Stegostoma tigrinum: one gene and its partner. The protein of the gene in region 1 interacts with the protein of each later gene in a biochemical or structural test. Links are inferred from orthologs where the notes say so. Each region holds a gene or a part of one and is shown in the gene's direction. Other genes may lie near its edges.

Evidence for each region. The genes of interacting proteins can lie anywhere in the genome.
Region 2: the proteins of annexin A7-like (region 1) and sorcin-like interact in a biophysical measurement, tested with the Homo sapiens proteins (2 studies listed by BioGRID and IntAct, with this or other methods). The link is inferred for Stegostoma tigrinum from reciprocal best matches to the Homo sapiens genes ANXA7 and SRI.

Annotation. Positions count from the first base shown.
Region 1 is NC_081390.1:1,963,227-1,970,316, reverse strand, and holds the start of annexin A7-like, read left to right. Parts: upstream 1-4,087; 5' UTR 4,088-4,184; exon of another isoform or gene 4,185-4,190; intron 4,191-6,328; exon of another isoform or gene 6,329-6,478; intron 6,479-7,090. UniProt on the Homo sapiens protein: Calcium/phospholipid-binding protein which promotes membrane fusion and is involved in exocytosis.
Region 2 is NC_081355.1:110,330,602-110,337,711, reverse strand, and holds the start of sorcin-like, read left to right. Parts: upstream 1-4,055; 5' UTR 4,056-4,171; coding exon 4,172-4,195; intron 4,196-7,110. UniProt on the Homo sapiens protein: Calcium-binding protein that modulates excitation-contraction coupling in the heart. Contributes to calcium homeostasis in the heart sarcoplasmic reticulum. Modulates the activity of RYR2 calcium channels.

The DNA of each region.
Region 1 (7,090 bases):
AGGTTGGTAGGGGTAGCGATGTTTGGGGATGGTGTTGATGGGGAATCCTGTCTCGGGGAGGAGGAGAAGGCAGAAACAGTGTTTTAGGGAAGGGTTTATGAAGAGGCTGATGCCTCTATGAGGGGGTGACAGGGGAGCAGAGTCTGGGGAGGGGTTGATGGAAGCAGTGCCTGGGGAGAAGGTGGGGGGAATGGTCCAGCAGGAGAAGTTCAGGATAACAGGCAAGCAGTGTCTGAGGGAGGGGGGAATGGGGATCAGGGTCTCAGGGAGGAGGCGATGGGAGGCAGCGCCTGGGGCAGTGAGTAACAGGGGGAACAATATGGGGCAAGGGTGTGGGGATAATGGGGGCTATGAATGGGGGAAGAGAGTGTAGGTGATGGGAAGCAGTCCTTGGGGCGGGGTGATGGGGAGAGATGCCTGGGGGCTTGGGGGTGATTGGGAGCAATCTGTAAGGGAGTGGGGGGATTGAGGGAGCACTGCCTGGGGAAGTGGAGATGATGGGGAGTAGTGCCTGGGGGAGGAGGTAGTGGAGAGCAGTGCCTGGGGGTTGAAGGGGAGCACTGTCCGGGGGAATAAGGGGTAACGGGGAACAGTGCCTGAGGAAGGGAGTGGGGTTGACCGGGTGCAGTGCCTGGGGGAGGAAGTGGTGGTGATCAGGAGCAGTGTGTGGGGGAGTGGAGTGATGGGAAGCACTGTCTGGGGGAAAGGGGGTTGGGGTGCACTGTCTGGGGAAGTGAAGATGTTGGGGAACAGTGGGTAGGGGACAAACTAGGGGTGATGGGGAAATGTGCCTGGGGTCTGAAGGGGAGCACTGTTTAGGGGAATTGGGGATGTCGTGTGTGGGGGTTGATTGGGAGCATCATGTGGGAGGTATTGGGGAGCAGCGTGTGGGGGGGGTGACGGGGAGCAGTCTATGGGGAGTGATAGGGAGTACTGTGTGGGGGGTGATGGGGAGTAGTGTGGGGGGGGAACTGCTGGGGAGCAGCGTATGGGGGAGTGGAAGTGATGGGGAGCTGTATGGGAGGTGTGGGGTTGATGGGGAATGGTGTGAGGGCTGATGGAGATTTGAGTTGGGGGAGTGGGGGTGATAGGGAGCAGTATGTGGGTGATGATGGGGACAAGTGTGTGGGGGTGATGTGGAGCAGTGTGTGCGGGGTGATAGGGAGCATTGTGTGTGGTTGATGGGGACAAGTGTGGGGGGGGTTGATGGGGAGCCGTGTGTGGGGGGGGTGATGGGGAGCAGTGTCTGGGTGTGAGAGGGAGCGGTGTGGGGGAGAGTTGATGGGGAGCAGTGTGGGGGGGGTGATGGGGAGCAGTGTGGGGGGGGTGATGGGTAGCAGTGTGGGGGGGTGATGGGTAGCAGTGTGGGGTGGATTGATGGAGAGCAGCATGTGAGGGGTAGTGGGGAGCAGTGTGGGGTTGATGGGGAGCGGTGTGGGGGCAGATGGGGAGATGTTTGGGGGAGTAGGGGTGATGGGGAGCAGTGTGGGGGGAGTGACGTGGAGCAGTGCGAGCGGGTGATGGGGAGCATTGTGTGTGGGTGATGGGGAGCAGTGTTGGAGGGTTGATGAGGAGCAGTGTTGGGCGGCTGATGTGAAGCAATGTGTCAGGGTGATGGGGAGCAGTGTGGGAGGGGTGATGGGGAGCAGTGGGTGTAGGTGATGGGAAGCACTATGTGGGGGGTGGTGGGGGCAGTGTCAGCTGCAGTGCAAGTGACGGGGTGCAGTGTGGAGTTGCTGGGGAGCAGTGTATATGGGAAATGATGGGGAGAAGTGTGGGTGGAACAGCAAGTGATGGGGAGCAGTGTGGGGTTGATGGGGAGCGGTGTAAAGGGCAGATGGGGAAAAGTTTCAGCGGAGTAGGGGTGATAGGGAGCAGTGTGTGTGGGGGGTAATGGGAAGAAGTGTGGGCTGCAGTGCAGCGTGAGGTTGATGGGGAGCAGTGTGGGAAGTTGATGGGGAGCAGTGTGTGGGGGGTGCTGGTGTGCACTATGTGGGGGTGATAGGGAGCAGTGTGTGGGGGGTTGGGTGATGGGGAGCAGTGTGTGGGGGGGGTGATGGGTAGCAGTGTGGGGTGGATTGATGGAGAGCAGCATGTGAGGGGTAGTGGAGAGCAGTGTGGGGTTGATGGGGAGCGGTGTGGGGGCAGATGGCGAGATGTTTGGGGGAGTAGGGGTGATGGGGAGCAGTGTGGGGGGATTGACGTGGAGCAGTGCGAGCGGGTGATGGGGAGCATTGTGCGTGGGTGATGGGGAGCAGTGTTGGGCAGCTGATGTGAAGCAATGTGTCAGGGTGATGGGGAGCAGTGGGTGTAGGTGATGGGAAGCACTATGTGGGGGGTGATGGGGGCAGTGTCAGCTGCAGTGCAAGTGACGGGGTGCAGTGTGGAGTTGATGGGGAGCAGTGTGTATGGGAAATGATGGGGAGAAGTGTGGGTGGAACAGCAAGTGATGGGGAGCAGTGTGAAGGGCAGATGGGGAAAAGTTTCAGGGGAGTAGGGGTGATAGGGAGCAGTGTGTGTGGGGGGTGATGGGAAGAAGTGTGGGCTGCAGAGCAGCGTGGGGTTGATGGGGAGCAGTGTGGGAAGTTGATGGGGAGCAGTGTGTGGGGGGTGCTGGTGAGCACTATGTGGGGGTGATGGGGAGTAGTGTGGGGTTGATGGAGAGCAGTGTGTGGGGGGTGATGGTGAGCACTATGTGGGGGTGATAGGGAGCAGTGTGGGGGGGTGATAGGTTACAGTGTGGGGGGTTGGGTGATGGGGAGCAGTGTGTGGGGGGTTATGGGGAGTAGTGTCACGGGGGTTGATGGGGAGAAGTGTGTGGAGGTGATGGGGAAAGGTGTGGATGGGAGTGGAGGTGATAGGGAACAGTATGGGGTTGATGGGGAGCGGTGTGGGGGTGGATGGGGAGAAGTTGGGGAGATGTGGGAGGGGTGTGGGTGTTAAGTGGGGGCGATGGGGTAAAGATGTTGGGGCAGTAAGTGTGGGTGATGAGGGAGGGGTGTAGGGGATAAATGGGGGCGATGAGGGAGGAGTGTGGGGTGTAGGTGGGGGCAATGGGGATGGGATGTGGGGGGTGATGGGGAAGTGGAGATAAGTTGGGAGGGGGGTAAGTGGGGGTGATGGGTAGGATATGGGGGTGGTAAGTGGGAGTGATGAGGGAGGGGTGTGGAGGGTAAGTGGGGGAGATGGGGGTAAGTGCGGGAGGGGTGTGGGGGGTAAGTGTGAGTGATGGGTTAGGGTTAGCGGGTATGATGGGGAGCAGTGTTAGGGATGGGGGAGTGTGGAAGTGGGAGAGATGGGGTAAGTGGGGCAATGGGGATGTAAATGAAGGTGATGGGGAGTGGTATGGGGGTATTTGGAAGTGTTGAGTGTGGGGGAAGTGGGGGTGATGGGGAATGGTTGTGGGATGTAAGTGGGGGTGATGGGAGAGGGATGTGGGGTTAAGTCGGGGCCATGATGGAGGGGTGTGGATGGGTAAGTGGGGGCAATGGGTGTGGGGGGTAAGTGAAAGCATGGGGAGGGGTGTTGGGGGAAGTGGGGGCAATGGGGAGGGGTGTGGGGGGTAATTGTGGGTGATGGTGGAGGGTACATGGGGGCGATGGTGGAGGGGTGCGGGCGGGTAAGTGGGGCCGATGGGTGTGAGGGGTAAGTGGGAGCATGGGGGAAGGGTGTAAGTGGGGGCGAAGGGGAATGGTTGTGAGGGTGTAAGTGGAGGTGATGGTGGGAGGGGTGTGGGAGTTAAGTGGGGAGAGGTGTGGGGGGTAAGTAGGGCAATGGTGGAGGGGTGGCGGCGGGTAAGTGGGAGCATGGGGAAGGGGTGTGGGAGTTAAGTTGTAGAGATGGAGTAGAGGTGATGGGGGGACTAAATGGTTGAGATGGGAGGGACCCAGCTTGCGTCTGAGGGCGCGGCCCGCCACGACATTGATTGGCTACGGCCTTAGCGAAACCGGGCTGTGATTGGTTCATTTGAGGATCCCTGCGCCTACAGGCCTGGGCAGTCTTGGCTCCAGTTGGTCTCTGATTCCCAATCAGCCGACTGTGATTGGCCTAGGGATATCTCCTGTTACGATTGGCTGAAACTAAGCATCTCTGCGTGTGATTGGGTGCCGGTGGTCAGAGCTGTGGTTGGCCGAGAATCTTGGGGCCTTCGAGTTGAAGTCGTTGCCTGAACCAGAGCCGAAGAGGTAAAGGTGCGGAGAGGAGGATTGGGTCAGGGTGGGTAGGGGAGGGGTGGACTACAACTCTAAGGTGGGGGGCGGGAAGCGTATGGCCGGGGCCAGCTGTGAGAACCGGCCCCTGGTCTGGACCATCTTCGTAGCCTTTTGGGAGGGGTCCAGTGCTGCTGTAACTAATTTCAAAAATATGCTTTATTCATAAAAAAATAAATCTTATTATGAATGTAGACATAGTTATAAACGCCGTTCGGTTCTGTTTGGTAGCATGTCAAGGAAACAAAAACGCTGGCGTGTGATTGTTCCCAAACAAACCAAGGGCATCCCTTACACATCCAAGACTGTTATTTACGTGTATTCGAGGCTTTGGCGGGGTCAGGGGCTGTTGTGAGGCGCTGAGGCCCAGCCTGGATTCCGGGCTATAAGACATCAGGCTCTTTAACACTGACTAGTGCTGGGCGTTGCTCATTCCAGTATTGGTAACGATAACCAGTACAGATTGTGGTGGTTTTTGGTTATTACAGTTACTGCAGGCAACTTGTCTGTAACTATGACACTTCACCACAGGTTATAATATTTAACTGACAGGATCTGGTCGAATAGTTCATGTGGTGTTGTTTCACAAGTGTGTCAGGAATAAAGTAGTCGAATCCTTTTTATATCTGGGTTTGGCTCAGGGTGCTAAGGCCTACTGGATTCTGGAATGGGACAGATTTGGGGGTGGGGGTGCAGTTAGTGCACTGTTTTTCTGAACCCACATCAAACATCTGCGTCTGTGGCATTAGAACAAAATCATGTGATGACATTGAATGTGCAGATGTTGTAATATTGTCTGGTAATGCCAATTTTTGGGCAGATTTGTGAAAGCTGGTTGCCCTAAATGTTTGGCCAGTCAGGAATTACTACTCAGTTTGTAAACCTCATGCTCATGGACCTGTCAGTCTCTGATGTGGTACATCTTCTAATTGCACCCCTTTGCTCAAAGAGCCTGTTCTCCGCTCTTGCCGGGAGAAGATTGCAGGGCTATTATTTCAAAACCATCTCAAAATGCCTCAATTTCAGTGAATTATTTTTGAAGTCTACTTATGTTTGTTATGTCAACAAACTCAGTTGACACTTTGTATACTGCCAAATCTCTCAAGTACTGGTTAAAGACCAGTTAATCTGCTTTTGCAGGTGTATAAGGGAGTAATATTGGTCATGTTCAGGACAGTAATAACACTAAGGGATGGCACATAAAAGAATTGATAACCAAGAGGTGACCAATTTAAGATAATTGACAAAAAACACCAAAGGAGTAGTTTAGATTTCTTTCAATGCAGTGAGTTATGACTGGGAACACACTGCTTCGAAGCAATGGTTCAAATGTATCTTTCAAAATAGAATTGGATAGTTAATTTAAAGGAGAAATTTGTAGGGCTGGCAGTAAGAGCAGGAGAATGTTTAGATTGCCCACAGAGCTTGCCCAGGTGTAATGGTCAAATGGCCTATGTCTATGGAATGATTGTGGATCTTTAACCTTTGCTTTACTGAACAGCAGAATGCTGGTTTAGCATTTTGTGGGTGGCACAATGGCTCAAAGGTTATCACTGCTGCCTCACAGCACCAGGGACCTGGGTTCAATTCCACCCTTGGGCAACTGTCATTGTGGAGTTTCAACGTTCTTCACATGCCTGCGTGGATTTCCTCCCACAGCCCACAGAAGTGCAAGTAGGCGGATTGCCCATGGTTTCCAGGTATTCCACTTTGTCCTGGCCCCCTCATCTCCCATCTGCTCCCCTTTGAACGCTCCCACTTCCCCAAATTTGAAACAACTATGCAGCCACGCTGTTAATGAAGCTCCTGCAAGTGTTATGTTTAGGCAGCACCAAAACTCGGCCCAAATGTGAAACCTAATCTTTGTGTTAGAAACTAAGTTTTAGTTATTTTGGATGCTGAATACAGATTTGTTCTGAATTTTACATCAGAGTAAAGTTATCTTTCCTTTCTGTATTGGCTCTGAAACCACATGGACTTCTAGTTGGTGAGGGAGAAATTTGGGAGTCTACTGAGCAAACATCTTGCATGACCTCTCTTAGCTGATGTCTGAACATAGATGTTTTCTGTGAGTGTACTTGATCGGATTCTGATGTCCCCTGTGTTTGCTTTCCTGCCAGTGTTAATTGTCCTGAATCATCTGACTGAACATGGAGCTGCAGTTTACCCAGACCCAATGAAGTGCTTCCAAACCTGAAGTATCTGTAAGATTGACTGATAAAACAGGCAATAACAGCTCTCAATCTATAACCCGAAACACACCACCTCAGGTACAGAAAGTTCCCTTCGTCCTGCCTTAGCTGCAGTCTCAGTTGACTACACCAGTATAATGAAGCCATATTCCAGTCGCTGATTAAAGATTTGGTTCAGAGCTATAGTCTGCCCTGACCTAAACTTGGATTAACATGGAGCTTATGTAGTGTTCACGAACAGCAGTGCTTCAGCCACGTTTGTTCCATCTATCTGGTTCAAACTGATCTGTCAACTGATAGACTGTGTCTTATCTATGAGAGCAGGGAGGTTGTGCTGAACTTAATCAGAGGTTGGGTGTATATCACTTGGAACATTGTGTACAGTACTGGGTGCCACACTTCAGGAAGCTAGTGAAGGGAGTTCAAAGGAGTTTTATGACAGCGATTCCAGGAATGGAGACACTTCAGTTATGATGCTAGTTGAGATAAATTGGGGCTATCCACCTTGGATGGACAGAGCTGATTTGATTCAAGTTTTCAAAATCATGAAGAAGCTGGACTCAGTAAACAGGGAGAGTGTTTTCCTGTTCATGAAAGGATCAAGAATAAGAGGGCAAAGACTTGAAATGTTTTGCAAAAGTTGAAATGCTGTTTGTGGGCGAGAAAAGAACTCTGATTATGGGCTAGGCC
Region 2 (7,110 bases), on another chromosome or scaffold:
AAATAGGATAAATACAGGAAAGATCAAGCCTATGGCCAAGGAGTCCATACCCAGGGATCACAGTTAAGGGTCTAGGCCCAAAACGTCAGCTTTTGTGCTCCTGAGATGCTGCTTGGCCTGCTGTGTTCATCCAGCTCCACACTTCATTATCTTGGATTCTCCAGCATCTGCAGTTCCCATTATCTCTGATCACAGTTTAAGGATATGGGATAGGCCATTTAGGACTGAGATGTGGAGAAATTTCCTTCACCCTGGGAGTGGTGAGCCAATGAAATTCTCTGTCACAGAAAATGGGTTGAGGCTATACATGGGATATTTTCAAGGTGTTAGATATATTTCTTAGGGCTAAAGGGATCAAAAGATATTGGAGAAAGGGAGAACAGTGTTGAGTTAGGTAATCAGCCATGACCATATTGAAAAATGGAGCAGACTCAAAGGGCCAAATGGCCTACTCCTCCTATTTTCTACATTTTGTATGAGTACATCAATCAAATGTATACTCAATCTTCTCCAAGTGTGATGTAAAATATGTGATCTATGTATAATTTTGGAGTATAATTCAGTGTGTCTGTAGGATTTGATGATGAATTGGTAGGAATTTCTGCAGCCATGGTGATTTTACATTTTATAATAGTCTGACAGAGCTAGTTCAGAGAGTCTAATCCGAACTTGTTTACTTTGGGGATTTTGAGTGAACAAATTAAACAATATGATCTCTTAGATTTTCAGACAGAAGATTCTGTAATTTTGGGGGAATTTAGGGGAAACATTCAGAGAAAATAAAAGCTTCTTAGTTTCCATCTGGGGCAATTGTTTGAAACCTTGGCTGAAGCTAAATGTGTACAACAGTTGCTCCTAAGAAAGGGAGGTTGTTTAGGAGTGTTAGGAAATAGGTTAACTCAGCAAAAGGAGTTTTTTTTGACAAATGTCCCATCCCAGAAGTGTTTGGTCACAACTCTGAAGGAGTTATTTGAAGCTGAGAATGTCTACGCTCAATTGTATGAAGCCTCCAGGAATAGGCTACTAGATTTTCAAGTTGGGGAATTGATACCATAGTTAAATTAAGCTCTGTAGATATTAAAGTAAAAGGGTGTCTCTCGCTGGCGTGGGCACTGAGAAGGACTGCATTTGGGATTAATGGCTTGTACTCTACCATGTATTTTGAAATCTTTAAAACTGTGCTCCAAGCAAATGTATTTATTCCACATTATCATCATTTCTTTTGCACAATATATTTCTGTCTTATGGTTAAACTGCAGCATGGTATCTTTGTGTTTCAGTTAAAGGTCATCATATTAAAAGCAAGATTTCAGTCTGGGATCAGACTTGTCAAGTAATGCGATCAGGCGGGTTTCTAATAGGAAATTTATCCCAACTTCTCCAATGCATTAACAGAACTGAAATTCATCAATGAGGATCATTCTTGTGACTTTTATTCTGCTCTCTCTAAAACCTTCACATTTTTCTGTAAGTGTTCTGCCCACAGTGAACCCAATAAGTCAGTTGAGGACAAACCATTGCTTAATGTGCAAGTTCAACATAACCTTCTTGTTCCTGATCACAATGTCCTGATTGATAAAACCAACAACATTCCATGTTAGAGAAACCGTAACGTCCTTGTACATTTTTATTTATTTGTTGTCACATGTATACGGCTGACAGTCATCATGTGGGGGTGCTAGTGTTGACAAAGTCAGAGGTCACATGACACCATATTGTGGTCCAAGATAACAAAGTGTGAAACTGGATGAACACAGCAGGCCCAGCAGCATCTCAGGAGCACAAAAGCTGACGTTTCGGGCCTAGACCCTTCATTAGAGAGGGGGATGGGGAGAGGGTTCTGGAATAAATAGGGAGTGAGGGGGAGGCGGACCGAAGGTGGATAGAGGAGAAGATAGGAGGAGAGTATAGGTGGGGAGGTAGGGAGGGGATAGGTCAGTCCGCTTGGGAACAATGCAGCCCAATGGTATCAATGTGGACTTCATGAGTTTCAAAATCTCCCCTTCCCCCACCGCATTCCAAAGCTAGCCCAGCTCGTCCCCTCCCCCCACTGCATCCCAAAACCAGCCCAGCACGTCCCCACCTCCCTAACCTGTTCTTCTTTGCACCTATCCCCTCCTCCCACCTCAAGCCTCACCTCAATTTCCCACCTGCTAACCTCATCCCGCCTCCTTGACCTGTCCATCCTCCCCGGACTGACCTATCCCCTGGAACAAGAGTCACAAATCTTCAGCACCATCACGCTTCCATCAATGCCCCCTCCGCTATGAGTCCTTGCTGGAACTCGACAATTACAGCTACCACCTGTGTGCCACACCCAGCCCAAACTCTCGACCCTGCCTGCTGCCATGAGTCCACTTTGGCCCCACCGTGCTGTTGTAGCCACTGATGCTGGGGCTCATACTGGGCCCAAACTCGCCTGAGCCTCCACAGATCTGCGCTCGATACAGACTCCACCGAGAATCTAAATTCACTTCTGCCACAGCAGCCATGAGTCGGAACTAAAACACTTTGATGATGCAGAAACACTGGGCTCACTTTGTGTCCACGCTGGGCTTAGTTGCCGACTGCTGTAAATCCATGCTGGATTCACTTCGCGTTTACACACAGCCCGTTCACCACCGATACCAACTCCTCAACTGAACCCTACAATAGGAGATAGGTTTAAAAAAAAACTGAGAAATGAGGCAAAAAAAACCTGAAAAGCTACTCCGCCACGATCTTAGGCAATTCCAAGAATCACATAAACTTAGTTTGCAACTACAGAAAATGATTAGAAAAACAACTAAGATGTTGTCATTTATTGCAAGGGGAACAGAATATAAAGGTCTGGAGAGAGGTTGTACTAGGTGCGGCAGAGATCACAACTAGAATATTGTCTAAGTGTTATTCTCCTTATTTGAAAAAAGTGCATAAATGGTTTAGAAGCCTTTCAAGGAAAGTTCATGCCTCATTTCTGGGATGAATCTTACTAAGGGTTCATCAAGTTAGGTTTATATCCAAGATAATAAAATGTGAGGCTGGATGAACACAGCAGGCCAAGCAGCATCTCAGGAGCACAAAAGCTGACGTTTCGGGCTCTGATGAAGGGTCTAGGCCCGAAACGTCAGCTTTTGTGCTCCTGAGATGCTGCTTGGCCTGCTGTGTTCATCCAGCCTCACATTTTATTATCTTGGAATCTCCAGCATCTGCAGTTCCCATTATCTCTTAGGTCAAAGATGAGGTGCTTTTCACTTGTCCAAAGGGCTTCTTCTGTGCTGCACGAATCAATTAACTTTAAAATGGATCGTTAGTTCATTTTGTACGAGCACTAAAAAGCAAAGGCAGGTAAATGAATCTGAAGCGATCAGCCACAATTCAACTAAATACACACCACGCTGAAGAGCCTGAGTAGGCCAAATTGTTTCTATGGCCAGATAATAAAAACACCAGCCCTAGGAACACGTTTTATACTGAGAAGTGGACTGTCTTAGCTAATTAAAACTCAAGAAAAAGTAAAATAAAAACTGAAATGGAGAAAATCCAAACAGAGAGAAACAGATGGAAATGCTCAATCGACAGACAAGCTAACCCTTCAGGCATCCAGCCTCAAAACAGATGTAGATTAACTGTAACAAAATTCGTGCGTATGTTCTCCCTCCCTCTACAAAACATATCGATTATTTCCAACATATACTTTTTAAATTAAACATAAGATGTTCCTATGCAACGACGAAATAAAAAAAACCATCATCCCACAACATGAGACATATCCGAAAGTTGTTCCCCGAGACAGGCTATCCACTCAACAAACGTACATGCCATTCCCCTAAGCTCCCCGGCAGCGGCTGTGGGAAACCACACCCGATACATGGTGGGAGAGATACCAACTCCGGAAGTGAAGGGAGGGGGGTAAGAGGTGAGGGGAAACACGGCGGGGTGAAACATAGACAGGCCCGGATCAACTAATCATGCCCGTCAAAATGAAATTGAGTGAATCAAATATAACGCTCTGTAATGATTGAAAACGTCCTGTGTGTGAGGATTGTTTGATTCTGAGGAGTTTTACGGTTCCCACCCCCAGTGCTCTGGGTAATGGTTGAGCCTGGCGTATGTTGCTCGGAGTTGGGGAAGAGGAAGTGCAGCTCTCTGTCTGTCTCTGTAGCGGAGTTCGGTCCTTTATACTCTGAGTATGGCTTATCCTGGATATGGGGCGGTATGTATTAGACATGATAGGGATCTTAGTGCAAACTGGGGGGGTTCAACTGTATTATAAGAGACCGCCCGTAGTCGGACGTTCAGCCAGAAGTTGATGTAAATTTTCTCTCTTGGATGGCGGGGATTTTGGAGGCGCTGTTTTCATTTCACATTTTCTTTCCTTTTACTCGCCCTGTACAAGTTCGTACCGTTCCTGCACCAATTCTTGTGCAGATGTTCGCCCCCGCCCATTTGGGATATTGTTTTCAGACTGGCGGCCTCCCCAGGTTGTTATTTCGGATGTAAATTGGAGCAGGGGGCACAGCATTTTCCGCGAATCCGGCCTAAGGCCACTGGTGCGTGGCTTTCTCGTGTGCACTGGATCCGTCTACACTGCTGTCTCCAAGCTCAGCCCCGCTTCCTCCTACTGGGATTTCACTTGTGGAACCCCCTGCTTGTGCAGCACTGCTGTGTTGTGCCTTCTGGATTTTTCGTAACGAGATTTGACTTAGAGAAGGCTCCTGTCGGCATTCCATAGGGACCGTTCCCTCTGCGTCTCTCTGGTCGACTACTCCGTCACCCCCAACATCTTCATCTGTTAACTCTCCCCGCCCCCCACAGCATAACTTCATCGTCCCCGCTCCCACAATATCACTTAATCTTACCCTCCTCCCTCCCACAGTATCATTTAATCTTACCCTCCCTCCTACCCACAGTATCACTTCATCATCTCCCCCCTCCCTCCCGCAGTATCACGTTATCTTCCTCGCACACCCACAGTATCACTTTATCTTCCTCCCTGCCTCCCTCCCACAGTATCACTTCATCATCTTCTCTTCCCCTCCCCACAATATCACTTCATCTTCACACACTCCCCTGCCCACAGTAGTACTTTATCTTCCTTCAACACCTCTTCATCTTTCCCCATTTCCAGTTCCAATATCTCTTCCACCAATGTCTTTCCATCTGTCTCCCCATCCACTGGACATCTCAGTCTATCCATGCCCCATTCCCACAAGTCTCTTTGACTGCCCCCCTCAACTCAACATGGCAGATAGCCATGCAACCACGTGGCATCTGCCGTTACCTTGACTCTCCTCACTGCCCAAAAGCCCAAAAACCCCTTCCAGGTAAAGCAGCAACTAACTTGCACTTTCTTCACTCTGACCCACTGTATTTGGTGCTCATTTCCCTTGACAGACTGGGTGATGATTTTGTTCTTTAAGAATAACTGTCTCTCCAGACATTTGATTTTATTTTTGACTCCAGTACCCATACATCTTGATGCTATTTGAGAGCAATCTAGTCCATTCCGTTAACTAATTGTATCTGTTTCGTGCTGCAAGTTTATATACCTCTAGTGCTCAACTGCTTTCTTTTTAAAATCTTGGACCTCCTCTGCTTACCATCCACGGAGACATCTTGCCACTTGCTATATTTTTTTTTTAAAAGTCCTCTCATCCCCCTCTAACTCTGGCCCAAAACGTCATTTGTGTCCCTTAATCCTTTACCATCAGATGGTGGGAACAGATTTACCTTGTCTACTTTCTTTAAACTTGTCATAATTTTGTATGCTTTTGTTAAATCCCTGTAGAACCACCTTTGCTCCAACAGAACAATGCCAGCTTTTCCAACCTAACTTTATCACTAAAATTCCTATCCCCTAGAACCGTTCTTGTAAATGTCCTCTGCACCCTGTCAAGGGCGTTCATATCCTCCCTAAAGTGAAGTGTTGAGAACTGGACACCATATTGTAGTTGTGGCCTAACCAGAGCTCCACTAAAAGTTCAGTGTAACTTCTCTGTTTTTATATTTAATACCTCCAATTTTTAAAGCACAAGATCCCATATAACTTTGTACTGTCTGTACGTTACACCGCCATCAGAGATCTGTGCAAGTGAACCTAGGTTCTTTTGTTCCTGTACACTCTTCTAGAATGGTGCAATTCAGTTTAAGTTGTTGCTGTCTTTTCCAACTTCCAAAGAGCGTCACTCCAATTTCTCCAAGTTCCATCTGCAATTGTCAGTTTCTTTCTGTCTTACTGCAATCAGTTGGTATCACTTTTATTCTGCACCATTCTTCCTAGTTTGCTATCATTGGCTGATATTGAAATCTGACTCCATTCCTGTATTGACGACATTTGTTTCAAAGAATGTGAGAACGAGCAGCGGTTCCACCATTGCCTCATGAGAAACAGCACTGCCTACCATCCCACAGTTAGTTGGATAAACAATTTATCACTATTTGTTGTTTTATGCCATTTTATTTGCCAAGCTGATACTGACCCTCCTATTCTATGACCATCAATTTTGTTAACCAGCAATTTTTTTCATATTCTGTCAGACGCTTTCCTAAAATTCATGAAGACATCTGCTGTAAACCCCTCAACAGTTTTCCTTCTTAACCTCATTTTAAAAAATCAATTAATTTGTCAAACACAATCTTTTACCAATCTGTGCTGCTTCTCCATAATCAAACCTCTTTGCTTGCTTTCTAAAGTCTTACCTTTGACATAACCTGACCTTTGTGGTTATTTTGAATGTGTAAACGTGCTTTCTCTGATCATGTCCTCTGGCATCTCCATCATATCTGGAGAAGTTGAGATGTGCATGGTGACCCCTATTGTTAACTCCAGCCTCACTTCCTTTAGTAACCTGGGATGCAAGGCATTTGCATCAAGTGACTTATCTACTGTAAGCATGGTCATTCTTTCCTGTAACTCCTGTTTCTCACTTTTGATTCCGTCTCTTTTTGATATTTCATTGACTCTTCCCTCCCAAACCCTAAAATGAAGAACACATTAAGTATTGTAGCCTTTCCTTCTGCCTCTAAGACTTGTACACGCTGACCAGATGTTCCAATCTGCCCTAGCCCCACTTGCTAACATTTGATCCATATCCCTCAATGCTTTCTATTCATATACCCCTCCAGATG